2 linked regions of the Caenorhabditis elegans genome follow. The protein of the gene in region 1 interacts with the protein of each later gene in a pairwise test. Each region holds a gene or a part of one and is shown on either strand. Other genes may lie near its edges. The genes, in order: ifo-1 and sel-10.

Evidence for each region.
Region 2: the proteins of ifo-1 (region 1) and sel-10 interact in a two-hybrid assay, tested with the Caenorhabditis elegans proteins (3 studies listed by BioGRID).

Annotation. Positions count from the first base shown.
Region 1 is NC_003282.8:7,318,636-7,329,235, reverse strand, and holds ifo-1 (Intermediate Filament Organize), read left to right. Parts: upstream 1-2,572; 5' UTR 2,573-2,573; coding exon 2,574-2,666; intron 2,667-2,717; coding exon 2,718-2,792; intron 2,793-3,425; coding exon 3,426-3,491; intron 3,492-3,909; coding exon 3,910-4,715; intron 4,716-4,757; coding exon 4,758-4,854; intron 4,855-4,952; coding exon 4,953-5,952; intron 5,953-6,283; coding exon 6,284-6,703; intron 6,704-6,751; coding exon 6,752-7,000; intron 7,001-7,047; coding exon 7,048-7,542; intron 7,543-7,589; coding exon 7,590-7,728; intron 7,729-7,775; coding exon 7,776-7,858; intron 7,859-7,909; coding exon 7,910-8,095; intron 8,096-8,175; coding exon 8,176-8,345; 3' UTR 8,346-8,502; downstream 8,503-10,600. Other genes in the region: sqst-2 (ZZ-type domain-containing protein), read left to right, coding at 276-344, 389-539, 586-690, 947-1,350.
Region 2 is NC_003283.11:13,815,895-13,824,859, forward strand, and holds sel-10 (F-box/WD repeat-containing protein sel-10), read left to right. Parts: upstream 1-3,466; 5' UTR 3,467-3,470; coding exon 3,471-3,560; intron 3,561-3,625; coding exon 3,626-3,693; intron 3,694-3,735; coding exon 3,736-3,832; exon of another isoform or gene 3,833-3,955; intron 3,956-4,066; coding exon 4,067-4,201; intron 4,202-4,249; coding exon 4,250-4,395; intron 4,396-4,443; coding exon 4,444-4,563; intron 4,564-4,623; coding exon 4,624-5,016; intron 5,017-5,363; coding exon 5,364-5,589; intron 5,590-5,638; coding exon 5,639-5,821; intron 5,822-6,128; coding exon 6,129-6,270; intron 6,271-6,320; coding exon 6,321-6,484; 3' UTR 6,485-7,086; downstream 7,087-8,965. Other genes in the region: F55B12.2 (Carbohydrate sulfotransferase), read right to left, coding at 1-137, 184-318, 366-508, 554-606, 653-747, 1,016-1,083; hpo-31 (CCA tRNA nucleotidyltransferase 1, mitochondrial), read left to right, coding at 7,266-7,315, 7,369-7,525, 7,571-7,666, 7,715-7,832, 8,268-8,385, 8,437-8,965. UniProt on the Caenorhabditis elegans protein: Probable substrate recognition component of SCF (SKP1-CUL-F-box protein) E3 ubiquitin-protein ligase complex, which mediates the ubiquitination and subsequent proteasomal degradation of target proteins.

The sequences.
Region 1 (10,600 bases):
GTTATTTCTAGTGTTATACCAAGTCAATTCAGATATTTCAAAAAATGCAACATTCTCTGATGTGCCTTCTTCTTTTCTTTGCTTTGCTCTCCAAAAATGACTAACGAGTGGAATGTTATCTTATCAAAAACTGCATCATTCAGCATTTGACAAGAGTTTCACTGGCGCTGAAATCAACATTTTCACTTCTCGACTCTTCCTAACTTTTTTTCTAAAATTGCTCATTACTTCTATAGATTAACTTTTTAGTTTTGATTTAGTTTGGGTCAACAAAAATGAGTAGTATTCGATACAGGAGACCACCAATCATAGAACGAAGATATGAAAGAACTCCATCATATTCGGTAACTTCAAGAATATTCGATTTCAGTAATAAAACTGTTTTCAGACGATTCCAAGGGATATTCATGTCTCATTCTACCATAATAACTATCACAGATCAAAGATTTTGTATTTGAATAAGTTCAACGCAATGGAAAAATTAATTGAAGCTGCACACGAATTGTATCCATCAAATGGTGTTTATCGTCTATTTTCGGGTGAGTTTTTTGAAATGAAAAAATATTTGTAATAATTTTTTAATAGATAGTACAATTGGTGCTCAAAACGAGTTGAATGATTCAGTGCAAGTTATGGAATGTGTTCAAAATCCTGATCATATTCTTCCACATCTACATATAAGACTGGAAGGTAAGATTTTACGGAAAACTTTTTAAAAAACAGTTCCATAGTCCTATTATAACAACCTTGTTAGTTCTTTGTTAGATAATCTTACAATTTGAAAATTCAATTATTCAAATTAAGTTTTTTTAAAAAAAGGAACAATGATCTTTCAAAGTATTTTTTATTTTCAAATTTTGAGAAATTTCAAGTTGTTTTGCAAAGGTGTGTTCTTATGTAACTCAAAACTAATAGTAACAAAATTTTTAAAAATTTAATTTTTCAGATTACCGTCCCAGAAGCATAAGCCGTAATTATCACGAAGTTAACGTTCCAATAATTCGAACTCCATCTCAACATTCAATCCATCAATCTGTTCGATTCAACGATAACAAACGTCATCACCATCATCATCATCATGATTCAATAAGAAACTTCGTCCATCATGACACTCCATGCCGAAACTGTTTCCGTATAATTGTTGGAAGCCGTTATCACTGTCTTCAATGTCCAGACTATGATATTTGTGGAGACTGTGAAAAAGATTTGGTTCACTACGAGCATGCTCTTCTACGAATTGTGACTCCAAGGGTTACAAGTATTCCTGATTATGTCACAGTTAACGCCCCAAGTTACATTTTCCCAGAACATCGTTATGATATCAAAAGAGAACATTATCATTGGTTTTAAATTGTATTTTATAGTTTTGTTGTTTTTCCTATTTATGTTGTGAACTTAGTTTTTCTGTCGGATTTCTGTCCTATCTTGTTATACTTAAAAAGACCAAAAAAGTTATGTAATTGCAGAAGTGCAAAAAACCAAGACGCATCCTCCATTCAATTTTAATTTCCTGAAATCTATCTCGCAAAAAAAAAAACAAAAAAAAAAATTCCCTCTTATTTTGAATTTTAAAATTAAATTTTTCTTGTGCTTTTCAGAAATCTGTTCCAATTGAATTTTCATTCCTATTGACTTGTAGGACTAGAATTAATAACACCGCGGACCACCTTTATTGAGAATTTCAAAAACATTTTGTAGGCCATGTTTCCAATTTTTAATTGTCTTAAAATTAACACAATGTTTCAAAATTTCTATTTTAATTGGCTCCATAGAACACTTTTCCATGTAATTAGAAAATGCCTACCTGCCTGACACCTAGAAAGTGACCAACGCTTACTGTGCATTGAAAGCATGCAAGTAGGCATTTTTGCATGCGTGGGAGGTTTCTACAACTCAGCCAAAGCAGTCTATTGTACCTACCCATTCCTTATTTATTCTTCCGCAATCACCAATGACGCGTTCATGATTTTTCACTTTTTCAAAAACAAAATTTGATTGTCACTGCCCTTATTAACTTTTGCCCACGCTTATTAAATTAGTTTCACTCCTGCAATTCAAATCCTACTAAAACCTCTCTGAAAATGTTATTTCTCCTTTTTGTTCAATAAAACTCAAATTTGAACATATTCTGATTCTGAGTTACACAAATATTTTCAGTCCCTTCAACCTATCATAAACTTTGATATTTGCTCAACATTTTGGAGAAAGCGATGAAGGAGTCAAAAACGGGCGGCCCCGTTGCATTCCTCCTCCAAACGCACCAAAAACTGATAAGATGTTGTTAAGAAGAAGAAGGCACCAAAGAAAGATTCTCTTATCACATTTTTTGGCAGAGAGGGAAAGAATTGCGCCTATTTCAGTTGATTGTTCACCCACCATTTACTACACTATTCCAACATTTTTATTGACTCTTTTCGTTGGAATTTTCCATCGAGTTCAAGGAATACTACTTCCACTCTACCTTTTCAAACTTCTTTGTTGTTTGCTTAATTTTTTCCTAACTTTTTCACGACTGAAATTACGAATTCTCAAGTTCAACTGTCCGTTGTACAAAATTCGAATACGATTTCAGCATGGGAGACCTACAAGTCGACTTGAATGCAGCACTTGTAGCCGTTAAACAGAAATGTGTGGACTTGGATGAACAAATTCGAAGAGAGAATGATGTAAGTTGTGTTCAAGATCCATAGAAAATGTAAATTTTCTGGTTTTTTCAGAGATCAGAAAATCGCGGACGTGGATATCTGGGAGTTCGTCGATACATCTATGCATTGACCACCAAGAAGAATGAGGTCTGTTTTTATTTTAAAAGTGTTTTTTTTTTGAAAGAGCTGGCATTAATTTTATTTTGGACTAATTTTTCAAAATTCCGCAATTCGCCTACGATATTTGCAACTCATTGCTCTACTTTGACAGCTCTCGGTTCACTTTGGGTTTATGTTATCAAAAAATTGCCAACTGACAAAATACGCGCATACTATTTTTTCTATATTTTGCTTATTAAACAACTGTTATAAAAGACAACCAAGATATAAATAAAGCAGTTTGGGTGCAAGTCTAATAGTGAAAATACGGTAAATGTGCACTTAACTTTTAATCATTTTTTCTGATTTAATTTCGATGTTTCACACAAAAACCACAAAACACAAAAGTTTAGTATTTTAGAGAAACTATGTTTTCCAAATTTCGACCTCAACTTTGACTCATTCTTAATCCCCTCCTACCTTCCAAAAATTTAATTAGTCATCATAATTGCGGATTGCAAATGCCACAGTGCGTAGTAAAATATCAAAATTTCGGCCGCAATCACTGATAACAGATGCCATTTCTTTTTGTTTAGAAGCATTGTGCAAGTGTCATAAAATGAGAAGGAAGTAGGCGATTCGGGGTGATGATGACGTGGCAAACATTGAAAGTATTTTCAGAACCATCTACAACGACGTGGGCGATCTTTGACAAGGGTGTACGTGGAACAAAAGTTTTACAGATCTGTGAGTTTTTGAAAATGAGAAAGTTGTTTTTGTTATTTTTGGGTTGGGTACAAATTCGTATCATTCTGAAGAACAGGTGTTATAATGCTTTGATAAATCGTTAATACGATATTGAACTTTTCAAGACTATTTTTGAAGACTATTTTAGAAGATGATTGTGCATTGTACATAGAATTACCAATGTGATAAACTGTATGTAAAAAAACTACCAGAAATGTTTTAATGCTTCATCTATTTTTTGTTTTTAAAAAAACAGCAAAAAAGGTTATTTCATAGTTCAATATTTATGAAACAAATAGTAAAAGAGTGCAAACATTTAGAATTAAAAAACAACAAAAATGCAGAAAATAAACGTTTTCGATATTTAAGTTTTTCAAATAAAATCAACGAAATAAATATTCATAATTCCTCCTTTCAGAAATCTGTACCATCTCCGGATCAAGTTCAACGCCTCGAGGATTGCACACAGGATTACGGACCAAATGATGAAGAACGCCTGGAATACGTGGAAACTGTTGATGCTCCATTGGAAGAGCTCATTAAAGAAGATCAGTCTCATCGCCATGTCGTCTCACAAAGACTTCCACAAGGGCACGGAGAATGGGATCATGAACTTGCAGTTTATGAAGAAGATGGTGGTTCTGGGCTTTTGGAGGATCGAACACTGACTGTGAGAGCTGGAGATCATCCTTTCGGAATGAATCAATTCAACGAAGTGGCAGAGGATATTAGTGCAAGAATCGCCAAGTTTTTTGCTGAGAAAGAAGAGAACCACATCAGAACTCGTGAGCTTTCTCTTTCAGTTCATCCAGTTTATCATCAAAGTAATGGAGATGCATACACTTCATTTGGAATGTCCAGGTCAAAATCAATGGGATCAGTTGCTCACGAAGCACATCAAACATCTAACAATCAACATAGTTCTGAAACTCATGGAACTGCTTCTTCAACTCAGTCACGACCACGTTTGGATCAAGTCTCTTCCACTACAAAGTCCTTAAGCAATTTGTTTAGTGTTGACACTCGTCATGACTACAATTCTCGATATGGAAATTATGTATCTGGATATGGACATTATGGAACACCACTTCCACCAGCGAAAAATCAAGAAGTAATGCCAAAAATGCCAGCGAAGAAGTCGGAGCACATTTATGATGAGCCAATTCATAGAACATCTACCACAAATGTGTATTCAAGCACTTATGAGAGAAAATATGACTTCAAGTGAGTACCAAATCTGTAATTGATTGCTAAACTTTTTTATAGAACAACATTCCCACCAGAAATCGAAATGCCAGAAGGATATCACGATTATTATGATCCGAGCAAGTTCATGTTCTTGGATGCAAAAGGTTATTATCAGGTGAGCAAAAAAAACTTGAATTGGAAGACAATTTTTGAATACTTGACTTGTAAATTTAATAGAACCAAATTATTCTCAGTCCATCCAATTTTTTTCAGGGCAACATCACTCGCCCACTTCACTATTCCTACTCTCGTGACTATCTAGAAAAGTACTCGGACTACGACGGAACATCACGACTTCCATCTCCAGCTCCTCCAAAGACCCCGGAGCCAGCATACACTGTGCTCAATAGATCAGAAGATCTCCCACATCACCCTACCCATTTGTCTTTCTCGTTCCCAGACTATTACGATCACGCCACTCAAATCATTCTCAGTCGTGATCCTGGACTTGAACATATTCCATATAAAATTGGGCCATTTGCTGATTACTATGACAATGTTCATCGTATCATTCTGTCGCATACCAAAGATTTGGATCATTGTAAAATTGTAATTCCGTCGTTCCCAGATTACTATGATCTGTCAACTAGATATGAAGTGCTTCATCGAGTTGAAGACATTCTTCATGAGCCAATTGTGATCGAGGAATATCCGGCATATTGTCCATATGAAGACACGAAATATGAAGTACAAGAGAAATCTGTGACATTGGACGATGAGCATATATACGAGGAAGTGTATGAACCTCCACTACCTCCACTTCCACCTCCAGCACCACCAATAGTTGTTCATGTTCTGAACTACACTAGAGATCACGATCACATTGTATTCGTCCCATTGCTTCCTTACATTCCACCACCACCTCCACCTCCAGCAGAGATTATTCACGTTGCAACTCCAGCTGAAGTAATTGAAGAAGAACCAGAGCCAGTTCCAGTGCCAGCTAAACGTCATTATGATGATCTTTATATCGGAAATGACGCTCTTGATGTATCAGTGTCTCCACATTTTAATCAATCCAATGATCAAAAGAATTTGGGATTAGAAAAGAGTGTCACTGATAGAGTTAGAGAAATGGAAAGAGCAATGAGAGGAGAAGAAAGGGAAAGACTTTTGGAAGAAGAAAAGCGAAGGAAATATCTGGAACTTCAGAATGAGATTAAGGCAGCACGGGAATACGAAGAAGAACATGCATATGAAGAGATTCAAGAAAGTGAGTTGACTTTTGATTGAATAATAAGTTAAGAAGCAACGATTCCGCCATAAAAGCAAAGTTGATACGTAGAATAGGTTGTATTCAAACGAAATATGAAATTTCCAATCGAATTATAGAAACTTCTACCCCATCTTCACCTTGTAAGATTAAATGTGATAAAAGGAAATTACCAAATCGTGAGTGTGTTGTAGAATTTGACTAGAAATGGAAGATGAAATAGATAATAGTAGTATAGATTTCCCTGCAATCTTCGGTGAAAATGACAGCTTTTTGAATGATATCAATAGCTAAAATTCCCATCATTCCCACCAAATTTTTACTGTTTCAGGCAAGAACACTCCTTGTCCAGTATCACAGCCTATTCTTATTCCATCGGTGTTTGTCCCAGTGGCAGTTCCAGAACCTATCCCGGAGAAACCGAAACGAACATGGCAGCCACCTCCAAAATCCGAAGAATTTTTGGACGAGCATATTGACAAGCCACTTGGCCCTGTCATTTTCCATGAGTTGATCTACCGCAACGGATTTTTGCTTAAAATGAATGAAGAAAATCATATTCTAAGTCAAACCCGTCCAGTCAGTCATCCAGTTTCTCGTGCCAACTCTCGACCAACGACGCCTGGATTAGAGATCAAAACTATCGATTTTCCACGTCTCGATGATGCCGCATCCCCAAGAGATCACTCTGATTCTGCTGGAAATGTTGATTATGTGCATAAACATATCGAACGGTACAATGCGAAGGATGGTAATGATCTGATTAAAACTGTTTATATCTAAGAAAGTGTATTTTCAGCCTCTGTTGTCCAAGATTCTCACGACGAGAGTCGAGCTCATTCGCATATGCTTTCAAATACCGTCCAAACTCATACACATTCTCAATTAATCAATCAGAATCAGGCGACTCATTATGATGCTTATGCTACTTCTCAACACTCGAATGCTCAAGAGTATTCAACTGTTCATGGATCACAAACTCATCGAGGAAGTGTAGTATATGATGAACCACATGGACAAGTTGTCTATGATATTCCACACGATCAAGGTAAAATATTTAAATTATAATTGAAAATATAAAATTTTCTGTTTCAGAACATCACCATTATGACACTGTTCACGTTCAACACCATCATCATCATCATTATCATACAGATGGCAGTGAACATGTTCATCACTATCATCAAGATGAAAATGCTCATCAACACAGTACAGCTGAAAATGAACATATTCATCACTATCACACAACATCAAATGAAAATGCTCACCATCATCACTCGGTTCAAAATGAGAAAGATATTCAATATCAGCTGGCTCAAAGCAACCAATCGATTCGACAAATGAGCAAGACCAACAACTGGGATGAACAAAATATTCAATCATCAAAGAGAGCTCACATTGAGGCACACATTCCGGTTAACTCACCATTTGTGAAAAGAGAAGATTCAAGAGTTAGCACCACTTCTCATGTGAGCACAGCTTCAACTGCAACTACCACGGGAACTGTTGTTCAGTGCTCGAACTCGTTGAATCGCCAAAATATTCCAGCTCCATTGAAAATTCAAAACGGAAACTCAGAGTCCTATCACGGTATGACATGTTTCAAAGAGGTGTTTCTATAAATCTCGTAATTTCAGAACACAATCATCACCAGCATGTGCATTTTGACAGTGTTGAAAATTCGGAAAACATTGCTCATCAATGTAAATCAACAACTTCCTTGGACTACCAGCCAGTTCATGTCGGACATGTCAAAAATTTGGCAAAACTTTTCAAGTTCGTAGATTCTTTTTAATTTCTAGATTTTAATTCTCGAATTCCAGTAAGCCCGACGAGAAGCCACTGACAACTGAGCAAGTGATCTACCGTGTCAGTGCTGCACCACCTGGTCATCACTTGGAACCAGGTATTTGACATTTCGTCAGCTGATTCTTTTTAGTTTCAAAATAATATTCAGAGATTAAACCTCGTCCACGTTCTTTGCCCCGCATTCCACTTGATGAGATTGAACTCCATGAGCATGGAAGTAAAGATCATATGACACGTCATCATCATGAAATGCACCAGGGTACTGTAGATGAGCACAGTGAACATGGTTATTCTATTGGTGGTGGTGCACAAAGGATTGATGTTTCAGCAAGAAGTAAGTTTGAAAAATCTAAAAGAATTATCACCATCCGCTGAACGTCTAATAATAAATATTTCTACAATCAGAATTTTCAGCTTCATCAACAGTGATGCACTCTCCACCTGTCCAAGTTCAACACAACTCATACTATCATCGTCAGTCATCAGACGAGGAGTCAATCCGTGTTCGTCGTGTCTACAAGGCCCTAGATGACACTTCAATGCTCTCTCCGGTCTCCTTGTCCGGCGATGGACCAAATTTTTAAATTCCGAATAAGAAACAATTTCATCTCCGTTGATTTCATTGCCTCTAGACTTTCAAATTGATTCAACAATTCTTAATCTTCCGATTTCGGTCAGAAAATACCTGTCATTTTCAATTTTTGTTTGTATTCCTAACATTTTCTAATAAACTTAACTGTGAAGTCCAGCCCCGCCAAGAATAACGAGCATTTCCTTATGAGGCCCAGGGGGAACATTCAGAACTTGACACTCGAAATTACAATGCAATGAGGGCCGTAAGATTATCTTTTCAGAAAATATATTTTTGAACCAATTTCCAGTTTAATGACCATAGATCATTGCATGCCACTCACCGAAAATTGAAATTTGGCAACAAACATTTTGGATCTTCCAACAAAAAAAAATGCATACACTTGTTCATATTTTTTGCAATGTCCAACGTATCCCTTATGACTAACGTGAAATGTTTATATAAATACATTGTTAGTGTCATAGTCTCTACGCCTTTCTTTTCTTTCTCTGTTTTTTCTCTGCGTCTCTTCATCCCATCCACTATTTTCTCACCTCTAACTCTTCCGGGGGCCCCGTCAACAACGGCCGCCTCCTACCCGGTCGCTGGCGCGCTCTCTTTCTCGTATCTTTTTGTTCTCAATTTCTCAAAATCTCTCTATATTTACCCAGTGCTTCTTAACTTTTTTGTCACACGTCTCTCCACAACGAGGAACAGCCGCAGAACAGAAACAGAAACATACGCGTGCGCGCGCGCCTCTTTCTCTCCGTCGGTCTGCCTGAAAATGAGAGGATGCGGGGGGCTTCTCTGTTCCTCTAACTTCCTGCGTTTCTTCATTTGTTGTCTATCTCTCATTTTTGGGTCGCTTCATTCTCTCTTAGTTCCTCTGTGAGGGAGGCTTGATGAATTGAGTGCATTCTCTCTTTCTCTCATTACGAAAAGGGCATTATCCTTTCGAGCTTCATCTTATTGTCTTTTTCCTTAAAAAATTACCTAAGTGGCCCTTTAACTTCTAGATAGACCTTGGATTTAGACTCTATCGTTTACATCCTCTATTTCAATTAAGCAAAATCCATTTTGCATTCCATATATCATATTATTTCTCACAGAAATAAGCTCTTACTCGAGCAAGTTCCCCAATATAATCCGCCTTATTCCCACCAGCAACCGGATAAACCTTTGAGTTCTGATATTTGATTAAAGGCTTTATCCTACTCGACGAAATGGGTTTTTGCATAAATATCCCAGTTTAACTCGGATATAACCTTGATATTTTTATAGAAACCAAGTGTCATAGAAATTTGCCAAGTGACTTTTTTTGTTCATTTGAACTTCCACTTATTTAAATAATTTTTCTTGAGAGGTCAAGTTCTCTGAACGTTATTCCTCTTCCAAAAACTCATTCAACCTAACAAAAATTGCAACAAAAAATTCTTTTGCCACAAAAAACGACATTCTATTTCATTCTTTCCGCTCTTTCGCATTTTTCATTTCGTGCTCCACCAGAAATTTCAAGGGTCCCATTCTCCTATAAATGGTAAATATTTTTGTGTTTTTCTTTGCTGTCATTTTTGTTCGTTGATTTCCAAATTCCCAAAGGAATAAAAAACTCTTCCGCAGAAGAAAAAAAAACATTCCCTCGTTTTCTTTTCTGATTTCATCTATAAATGATGAAGCTTTGAAACTGGAAAAAAGGCTGAAGGAGTCAAGGAAAGTGAGTGGAAGATAAACAAACAAAAAAGAATGCCAGAACTTTTTTTGCAGACAAAAAAATGGAGGAAAAGATTTATTTGGTGACTGATTTATGGGCTAGGCGGCGCCCCTCTCTTGGTCTTGAGGGATTTGCACGAGAATAATGACAAAAAAAACGAAAAGTTCGGGTGTGAAGGAGGTCTGCCAATAAAGGGCATTTAGGGGAAAAGAGCGTGATTTAGAATGCAAATAATTTTAGTGGAGGGGTTTAGATATTCATAAAGTTAATTTCACTTAATATATGCTCAATAAGTTGCCAAAGTTCTGTCAAGAACGTTTCATAATTTGGATTGCGTTGCTATTATGATAGATATTTTCGGTAAATTAAGCAGAAAATCGAAGAACCAAATAACAAAGCTTATGTTTTTTTTAAACTCAATATTTGTATGCCTGTCAGATTCTTCAAAGGTTCCATTTCAAAACCTATCTCACTTTATTTGATTGATGAGCCTTTCACTAGCTATTATAGAATTAAAATAGTATAGGCAAGCAATTGCTTCTAATTTACAAATTACA
Region 2 (8,965 bases), on another chromosome or scaffold:
ATGTAATTGGCGCGGCATGTCTGTCTATCGAAGACGACGAAGCTTCATCTGGGTCATTCTCATAACTTTTCAGACTTTTATACACATTTCTCACAACACATCGCATATTGTCACCGCAATCCCAGCATCCATTGTCACTAAAAATGTGGCATGTTTCTCTTAAGTTTAGAGAACTCAACTCACTTTTTACAAACGTGCAAATAGAATGAGATGAATCTATCAAAGGGATCCCGGATGAACGCAAATTTTGTGAGATTTTGATATTGTTCCACGTTTTTTTGAGGAATGTGGAACTCTGGATCTTTGTGAGAGCATACTCTGAAAAAGTTTTTGACTACTTTAAAGAATTAGAGAGACTATTGTACCTTTCAGACATCCACGTATCATTTAAAGATCGATTTTGGTTCTGAAACTCTGTTTCATTGTGTAGTAAGCACATTATATTGATTAAAAGTTGGGACATCGATTTTCGAATTCCACATGATAAAATCTTATATTTAGGAGCAATCTGAAACAAGACTGATCTTCTAGGACAGCACTTTCTAAAACGTACAAATAGATCCGATCTAATATTTACATATGGTTGGATGAAGTCAAGGTGATTATCTGACATTAGAAGAAGTATGCTTCTAGTGCAAGTTTCAACAGTTACCTCTAAGTTGGCGAATTTCAGATGCCATTCCGTAATAGTATAAGATAACTATGAAGTTGATGGCAAATGCTTGAAATATGATTCTGTTTTTTGAACTGAAACAGTTTAAGCATTAAAGGAAGCATTGAAATCAATACAAAATTAAAATTGAAAAACAAAAAACTAAACCATTGAGGTCTGAAACATTCTTAGTTTAAAAAGTGAGTATTTTGCAATAAAACACATGCTTTGGCTTCTAAATTCACAGATTTGAAACGTTACAGAACTTATTTCAGCAATCGAATTAAAAGAAAATTTCCCATAAAATGCTGTAATCATTTTTTCCCTGAAACCTACAGTAGTATCGAGTCCTAATCAACTTACCGATCCGCAGACTGTTTTCTAACAATTTTCAGATTTGTCAGTAGAAATAAATGCCCATTCTTGGTCATGATCATTTGGTAACCATAAAAGATCGTCGTTGTCTTTTGATTCTCGTTTGCCAAATAGAGCAAGACACGGTTGTTTGATGCCAAAACGGAGGGAGTAGACACAAAAATGGGACAGAATAGAGTGTGGAGTGATTTTTAAAATGTAAACATTTCCAGGATATGAGCCACAAAAAGGGATATAGACCGGCAGCAAACATTACTGTACATGATGTATGAAAAAAAGAATGCCGACCAATCAAAATCACATTGAACGATGGTTGTGTCTGGATCTCAATGATCTCGGATGAAAATGGGAGTAATTAAATTGTGCCTAAAAGTAGTTTCAAAGTTGCATCCATTTTTGATGCTTCCACTTCAACTTTTGAACACACGTAGATTACCAGAATTTCAAATCGGATCAGAAAGTAAATACCGTAGTTCTTTTGTTGTAGGGGTGGGCGGTAATCAAGGAATTTTCTAAAAAATGTTCAATTTCGGCAATTTCTGAACATGCCGTTTTTCGATAAACCAACAAACAGATCATCATATTGTAATCAAAAAGTTTGTAAGTTGGCCATTTATATTTGAAAATAAATAAAGCTCTACAAAAATAATACATTTGTTTTTCTGAAATACCCATTTTTAATAATTTGTGGGCAACATATAATAGTCTTAACAACAGACTGAACACTTTTTAATTTTAAATCAGGTATACCCACTATTTCATTTTCTAGACACCATACCGAAAACCCTAAATTTTGGCAACACGTATGATGTTGGTATTTGATTTTATCCTTAAATTTACAATTAGAGCTCATTTTTATTCTGTTTTTGTTTCTATAGTTTTGCAGTTCAAATTTTAATTATAATGTGAAAATCTTCCAAGAAAACATTTTTTCAGCTTTCCAAAATCGTTCTACAGAAATTTCCGAATTGGTCAGGTCTCTTTCAACTAATCGAATTTTTTGACATACTGGAGCTGGACTAGTATCAAAATTGCCAAATTATTTTAATTTAATTATTTTCATGTTTCGTCGTCCTTTTTTTATCGAAATGATATAGGTAGAAAGGCGTGAAAATAAAAATATATTTCACGAATTTATTGTCTGATACCAACGTCATTCTTGAATAGATTTGGATTTTATTTCAGTTTTTATTTCACTAAATAAACATATCAAAAGTGTTGGAAATTGTGGCTCCTCCTGAAGTCGAACAATCGGAATTTCCGTTTTCAGAGAATGTAGGCTATTTCAAATAATCGTATTTTTCGGTTTTGTGCAATTTCTAGCATATTGAATATATATCTTGCAAATGTGATGTGTTGCTGACAAATATGAATTTTAACTTTCGCTGATAAATATCAGTACAATTTATGAATTGAATCCTCTCAATCACATCTCAATTCTTTCATATTCGTCCCCCCGCAATACAAAGCCAATAAAGTGTGAAAAACAAAGAAATGGAGCAAATAGTGAGCTATGACTCAACTAACGTATTTCAGATGGGAATTGCAGTTTAGTCATGAATGTGTTATCATATCAGAAATAGTTCTTGACATTTGTGAAGAAATATTATACAGAAATTCCAAAGCGATTGTTTCCAATTGTGGCAGGTGTTCGTGTCTCTTTTTCTGTCAGTTTATGGTATTCATTTCCATAAAATTACCCCCTCGGTAGCCACAGATGGTCATAATTCTTTTGAATTCAGTTATGGAAATACCACATTACGTTCAGAATGTTACAGATTTTAAATCATTTTTCTTTTGTGGTTGTAAATTGAATCACTTGTTTTAAAAAACCATATTACCTATATGTATTATTTTATTCAAAAACTGAATTAATATACTCAGTTTAAAATTTCAAAACAAGAGTTTTCGTGGGATGCAGTTCGTTTTTTAAATTCCTTATTATCCTGAAATTTATAAGGATGGTTTACTTGTGCAATACGAAACAACCTTTCCGTAAAAATGATTTTGAAACAAGGTTGAACACATTTTTCTGCACCATCATGAAGGACGAGAACCCAGCTGTCATATGCAACAGCAGTGACCATCGAACACCTGCTTCTTCTGTGAAACTGATTATGTGACCGACAAGTCGGACATTTTATATTTTATTTTACACGAGAATATTTGTTGAAGTTATCTTATCAACTTTATACACTTTATATGCATAGAAAATGTTTCATCGTGTGAACATCAAGTGAACAAACGTGCGCGTCGGAAAATGCGTCAAGCGGTTATTGGCGCACTACTGGATGCCTTGACGCATATCGCGTGCAAAAAGCTTTCATCTTCTCTTCTCATTTTCTCACGAAAATCATAGTTTTATCGACTTTCCTTTTGTGTTCAAATTCTTCATTCCCAGTAGTTTTTGTCCTTTATTCATTTCCAATTCTTTTTCAGCCATATGTGGCCACGAAATGATGTACACATGGATGATGGATCGATGACACCGGAGGACCAGGAGCCTGTTACCGATAATGATATGGAATATAATGTATGTTAACATTTACAACCCTTTTCAGAATATAATTTAATTCTAATTGAAATGTTTGTCTTCAGGACAATGGAGAAGAAAGCTCGTACAGCAATGGCTCTTCTTCCAGCTACAATGCTGACAAATTATCGTCGTAAGCCTTTTTGTAGTGAATATTTATAGCAAAACGTACCAGTTCCAGACCTTTGCAACACAAACTTGATTTATCGGCTTCTCCCTCTCGAAACAACGACCTCAATCCGCGTGTCGAACATTTGATCGCATTATTCAAGGTAAACATATTGATTGATTGTCGCGATCAATCTTTCAGCGTTGCGGCTAATACACATGCAATAAATTAATATTTGAATGCGACAATAATTAGTAACATGACAAAACAATGCATTCAAGCTCCGGTGAGGGTGACCTGTGTATTATTGATTTTTCCAAACCTTGAAGAGAGCACCTCAGCCAGGCATATTCGCTCTATTTTTGCTGAAAAAAAGTGTAATTTGAATTCATTTTAGGATCTATCAAGCGCGGAACAAATGGATGCATTCACACGTCTGCTTCAGGAATCCAACATGACAAATATTCGACAGCTGCGTGCCATTATTGAACCCCATTTCCAGCGTGATTTCCTCTCCTGCCTCCCTGTCGAGGTATTTGTGTTGAAACGGAAAGAAAAATTATAAATATAACTTTTTCAGCTCGGAATGAAAATCCTTCACAATTTAACCGGATATGACCTGCTCAAAGTGGCACAGGTGTCGAAAAATTGGAAATTGATATCTGAAATTGACAAAATTTGGAAGAGTCTTGGTGTCGAAGAGTTTAAACATCATCCAGATCCCACGTAATACTTTTGAACGGGAATTATTTGAGATTAGTATTATCTTTTCAGAGACCGAGTTACTGGTGCGTGGCAAGGAACTGCAATTGCTGCTGGAGTCACTATTCCTGATCACATTCAGCCATGTGATCTTAATGTTCATCGATTTCTAAAGTTGCAGAAGTTTGGAGAGTACGTTTATTGGAAATATTATTTTTAAAGACGTTCCGATCACATTCGATTTATTTTCAGTATCTTCGAACGCGCTGCTGACAAGTCACGTTATCTTCGAGCCGATAAAATTGAAAAGAACTGGAATGCGAATCCAATTATGGGGTCAGCAGTGCTACGAGGACACGAAGATCATGTAATCACTTGTATGCAAATTCATGATGATGTCTTGGTGACTGGATCTGACGATAACACTCTTAAAGTATGGTGTATTGACAAAGGAGAGGTTATGTACACACTAGTCGGCCACACTGGAGGAGTTTGGACATCACAGATTTCTCAATGCGGAAGATATATTGTTAGCGGGTCCACTGATAGAACTGTAAAAGTTTGGAGTACTGTAGATGGTTCACTTCTTCATACACTTCAAGGACATACTTCCACTGTTCGATGCATGGCTATGGCTGGTTCCATGTAAGGCTATTCACTATGATAACTGCTTGGAAAAAGAAATTTAATACTGAAAATTTCGGGTTTCGTACAGTTGAATTCCCTAATTTGCGAGCTATATCAAATCTTGATGGAAAGTTTTTGATTTGTAGATCATTTATATCTTAAGAAAATTATTCTATCTAATTTCACAAAAAAAGTTTATGGTAATTTTTTTAAAACTTTTGTTTCAAAATAGAAAAACACGAACGTGTATTTGGTTGTTTAAGACTTTTTTAATACATTTTCTATCTTAAAAATGAGAAGAAAACGAAAAATCTCGCTGAATAACCACACTTTCAACCCATACATTTTAATTTTAATACTTTCAGACTTGTCACTGGATCACGAGATACCACTCTTCGTGTATGGGACGTAGAATCCGGACGTCACCTGGCAACTTTACATGGCCATCATGCAGCCGTTCGATGCGTTCAATTCGATGGAACAACTGTTGTTTCGGGAGGATATGATTTTACCGTTAAAATTTGGAATGCTCATACTGGGAGATGTATCCGTACTCTGACCGGTCATAACAATAGAGTTTATTCTCTTCTCGTACGTTTTTCTTATAACAAAATCCGAAAAATAATGTTTTTGTTTTCAGTTTGAAAGCGAGCGATCGATCGTGTGCTCTGGCTCTCTGGACACTTCAATTCGCGTGTGGGATTTTACACGACCGGAAGGCCAAGAATGTGTGGCTCTTTTGCAAGGACACACCTCACTTACATCCGGAATGCAACTTCGAGGCAATATTCTCGTGTCATGCAATGCAGATAGCCATGTTAGAGTAAGTATAGAGATGTAAGATTGAGAAACTTGTCATAGTTAAACATTTGTACGAGAGTCTGAATCGCTCTCCTGTTAAACAATTAGAGACCAATTCCAATTAATAAAATTGGTCCTGATGTTTCACTGCGTTTTCTGTCTCTCTGCGGCTGTTTCTACAAAAGCCAATATTCGATGGCAAACAAAGGTGTACGGATCTGAAATGATTTTCAAAAGTATGGAAAAGCACAAAAGCGTAGTAGATAAAGTAACCCTCACATTGTGAGAACATTGAAAAATTGTATTATTTTTTTAAATCATTTTTTCAGGTATGGGATATTCACGAGGGAACTTGTGTACACATGCTTTCTGGACATCGATCCGCTATCACTTCACTTCAATGGTTTGGACGAAATATGGTAGCAACGAGTAGTGACGATGGAACTGTCAAATTGTGGGATATTGAGAGAGGTTAGATCACATAAATTACAGATAGTTTTACCCATAAAAAAATTTTCCAGGTGCACTGATTCGAGATCTAGTAACTTTGGATTCTGGAGGCAATGGTGGCTGTATTTGGAGACTTTGTTCTACTTCTACGATGCTAGCGTGTGCAGTCGGATCTCGTAACAACACCGAGGAGACCAAAGTTATCCTTCTCGACTTTGATGCTGTATACCCTTAACGAATTCTCGAATCTCTGCCCCTGTACATAGAATGTTCTTGCTTAGGAACTAATATTGTACACGATGCCCTCATTTTTAAATCAACAATGCTATCATATCATGGAATATAGTCAAAAGCCAACAGTATTGAAACGTCAAATTTGAGGAAAAACGAATTTATGTGTCTATTCAACTCGTTATATCCCGGCCCGCCACTATAATTTTTCTTTTTTTTACTATTTTTTGTCAGATTCTGTCTCACACTCTTCTCTTTCTCTTTTCGATTGTTTCCCATTAAGTTATCGGGTTTGATTGATTTTATATTTTTATTCAAATGATGGGCTCACTACTCCCAGATTTTGATTTCCTTTATACAATAGTTCAGTCAGTATGTTAGTCCTTATGTGACTTCTTTTTGATCTAATGAGCTTTTTAGTCCCTGTCGGTTCCCTCTTTTTTCGCTTTCATTTTTCGTAAAAACTACTTGTCAAAATTCAAAGTTCTACCCTCGACATTGCCTTTTTTAAAATTTTTGTCTTCGTTTTATCGACTTATGCCAGACGTCATTCGATTAAGTAGGTTAATAACAATTATTTCATAATAATAAATATCGATTCGTGTCATCCGTCTATATGTGATTTTCTTTTAATATCTCTATTGGAGATTTCTCCAAATTATCCTGTAATTTTTCAGTGAGTGAATATCAGCTTTATGAAGTTTGTGTCTAAATTTTTGACCCCAACTACAATAATTAGTTTAACAACCAGAAGTCTATCAACAGCAAAAACTCCAACATACATCATGAATCAAATTGAGCCAACTACAATGAAAATTGATAATGAAGATTTTCGGCAAGTTCCGGATATTTGAAGAATCGTTTTAAGTTTAATTCTATATTTTTCAGAACTCTCTTCACACCTCAACTTTTGAAACTCCGTGATTTATTCGCCAAACGAAATTATGAGCTTCGAATTGCCGGTGGAGCTGTTCGAGATCTACTTATGAACATTCGACCGGCTGACGTTGACTTTGCCAGTACTGCAACACCGACTCAAATGAAGGTTTTAATTGTTTTCCAAATCTCAAAAAAAATATATTTTATTCAGGAAATGTTCGAAGAGGATAAAATTAGAATGCTTCATAAAAGAGGCGAAGAGCACGGAACAATCACGTGTCGCATTGACGATTGTGAAAACTTTGAGGTATTTAGTTTTTAGTTTAATAAATTTAATCTATATACATTTTCCCAGATCACAACGCTTCGTGTAGACATTGTGTGTGATGGAAGAAGGGCTCAAGTTGAATACACAACTGACTGGCAACTTGATGCAAATAGAAGAGATCTTACTATCAATTCACTGTTTTTGGGTTAGTATAGAAATTGGAAATTGAAAGCACTCCGCCCCCGAACCATGGGTCTCGTTAGGAATTGTCAGCAAAACCGTAAATTGAAACTTTCAATTAGTTTCGGCACTTCCGCCAAATTTCAAACATTTTCTGTTTTTTCCTGTTTTTAAAAATAATTTTTATACGGAATTGGATTTAAAATTTATAGTAATATGAAAACCCATTATTCACCTTTCAAATCCGCATAAATTTTTTCAAATCATCATTAGGAAATGAAAAATAATCAAAAACAACAGAAAATCGCCGAAATTAATTGAAAACGTGTGCATTCACGGGCTTTCCGCTAAATACCTAACGAGACCCATAGTTTGTGGGCGGAGTTTTTCAATTGGCAATGGAGCGCGTTCCCATAATATTATATTCTTTGCTCATGAAATATTGGAATTTCTTTTACAGATCTTCATGGAAACGTTGTCGACTATTTCGGTGGAATCAGAGACATTGAAACTCGGCGCATCGCTTTTGTTGGAGACGCTCGTCAGAGAATCCAGGAGGACTATTTACGAATTCTTAGGTTTTTACAATTATCATACATTTTCCTGTTATCAAAATCTCTATATTTCAGATATTTCCGTTTCTTTGGACGAATCAGTGACTGTACGGAACACGAGCACGACACAATTCAGGCGATTGTAGAGAACAAGGATGGTATGGCGGGAATAAGTGCCGAGAGAATTTGGACAGAACTCAAAAAGATTGTGGTTGGAAGAATGGCTGATGAGGTGTTAAAAGCGATGATTGAACAATGTGAATTACAAAAATATCTGGGACTTCCGAAGGAATGCAATCTAGAGAGATTTCATACAGTTTTTAATAGGTTTTCAAAAACTGTCGAGCCAATGACAATGATTGCATGCCTGTGTGAGGATGAACATCAAATCGCCGAATTTCATCGTATTACGAAGCTCTCGAACGATGAACGTCTCCTCGGTGAATTCATTCTTAGTGAACGACAATCTGCTGTTGAGAATTTAAAAAACGATGACTGGTGGATTGATAGAATTGTTGATTTGGAAGTACGTCCTGGTCACGAGAATCAACAGGATCGACTTCGTCAGCGACTTGTCCAACTTGCCAAAAGTGTGCTCGCTGAT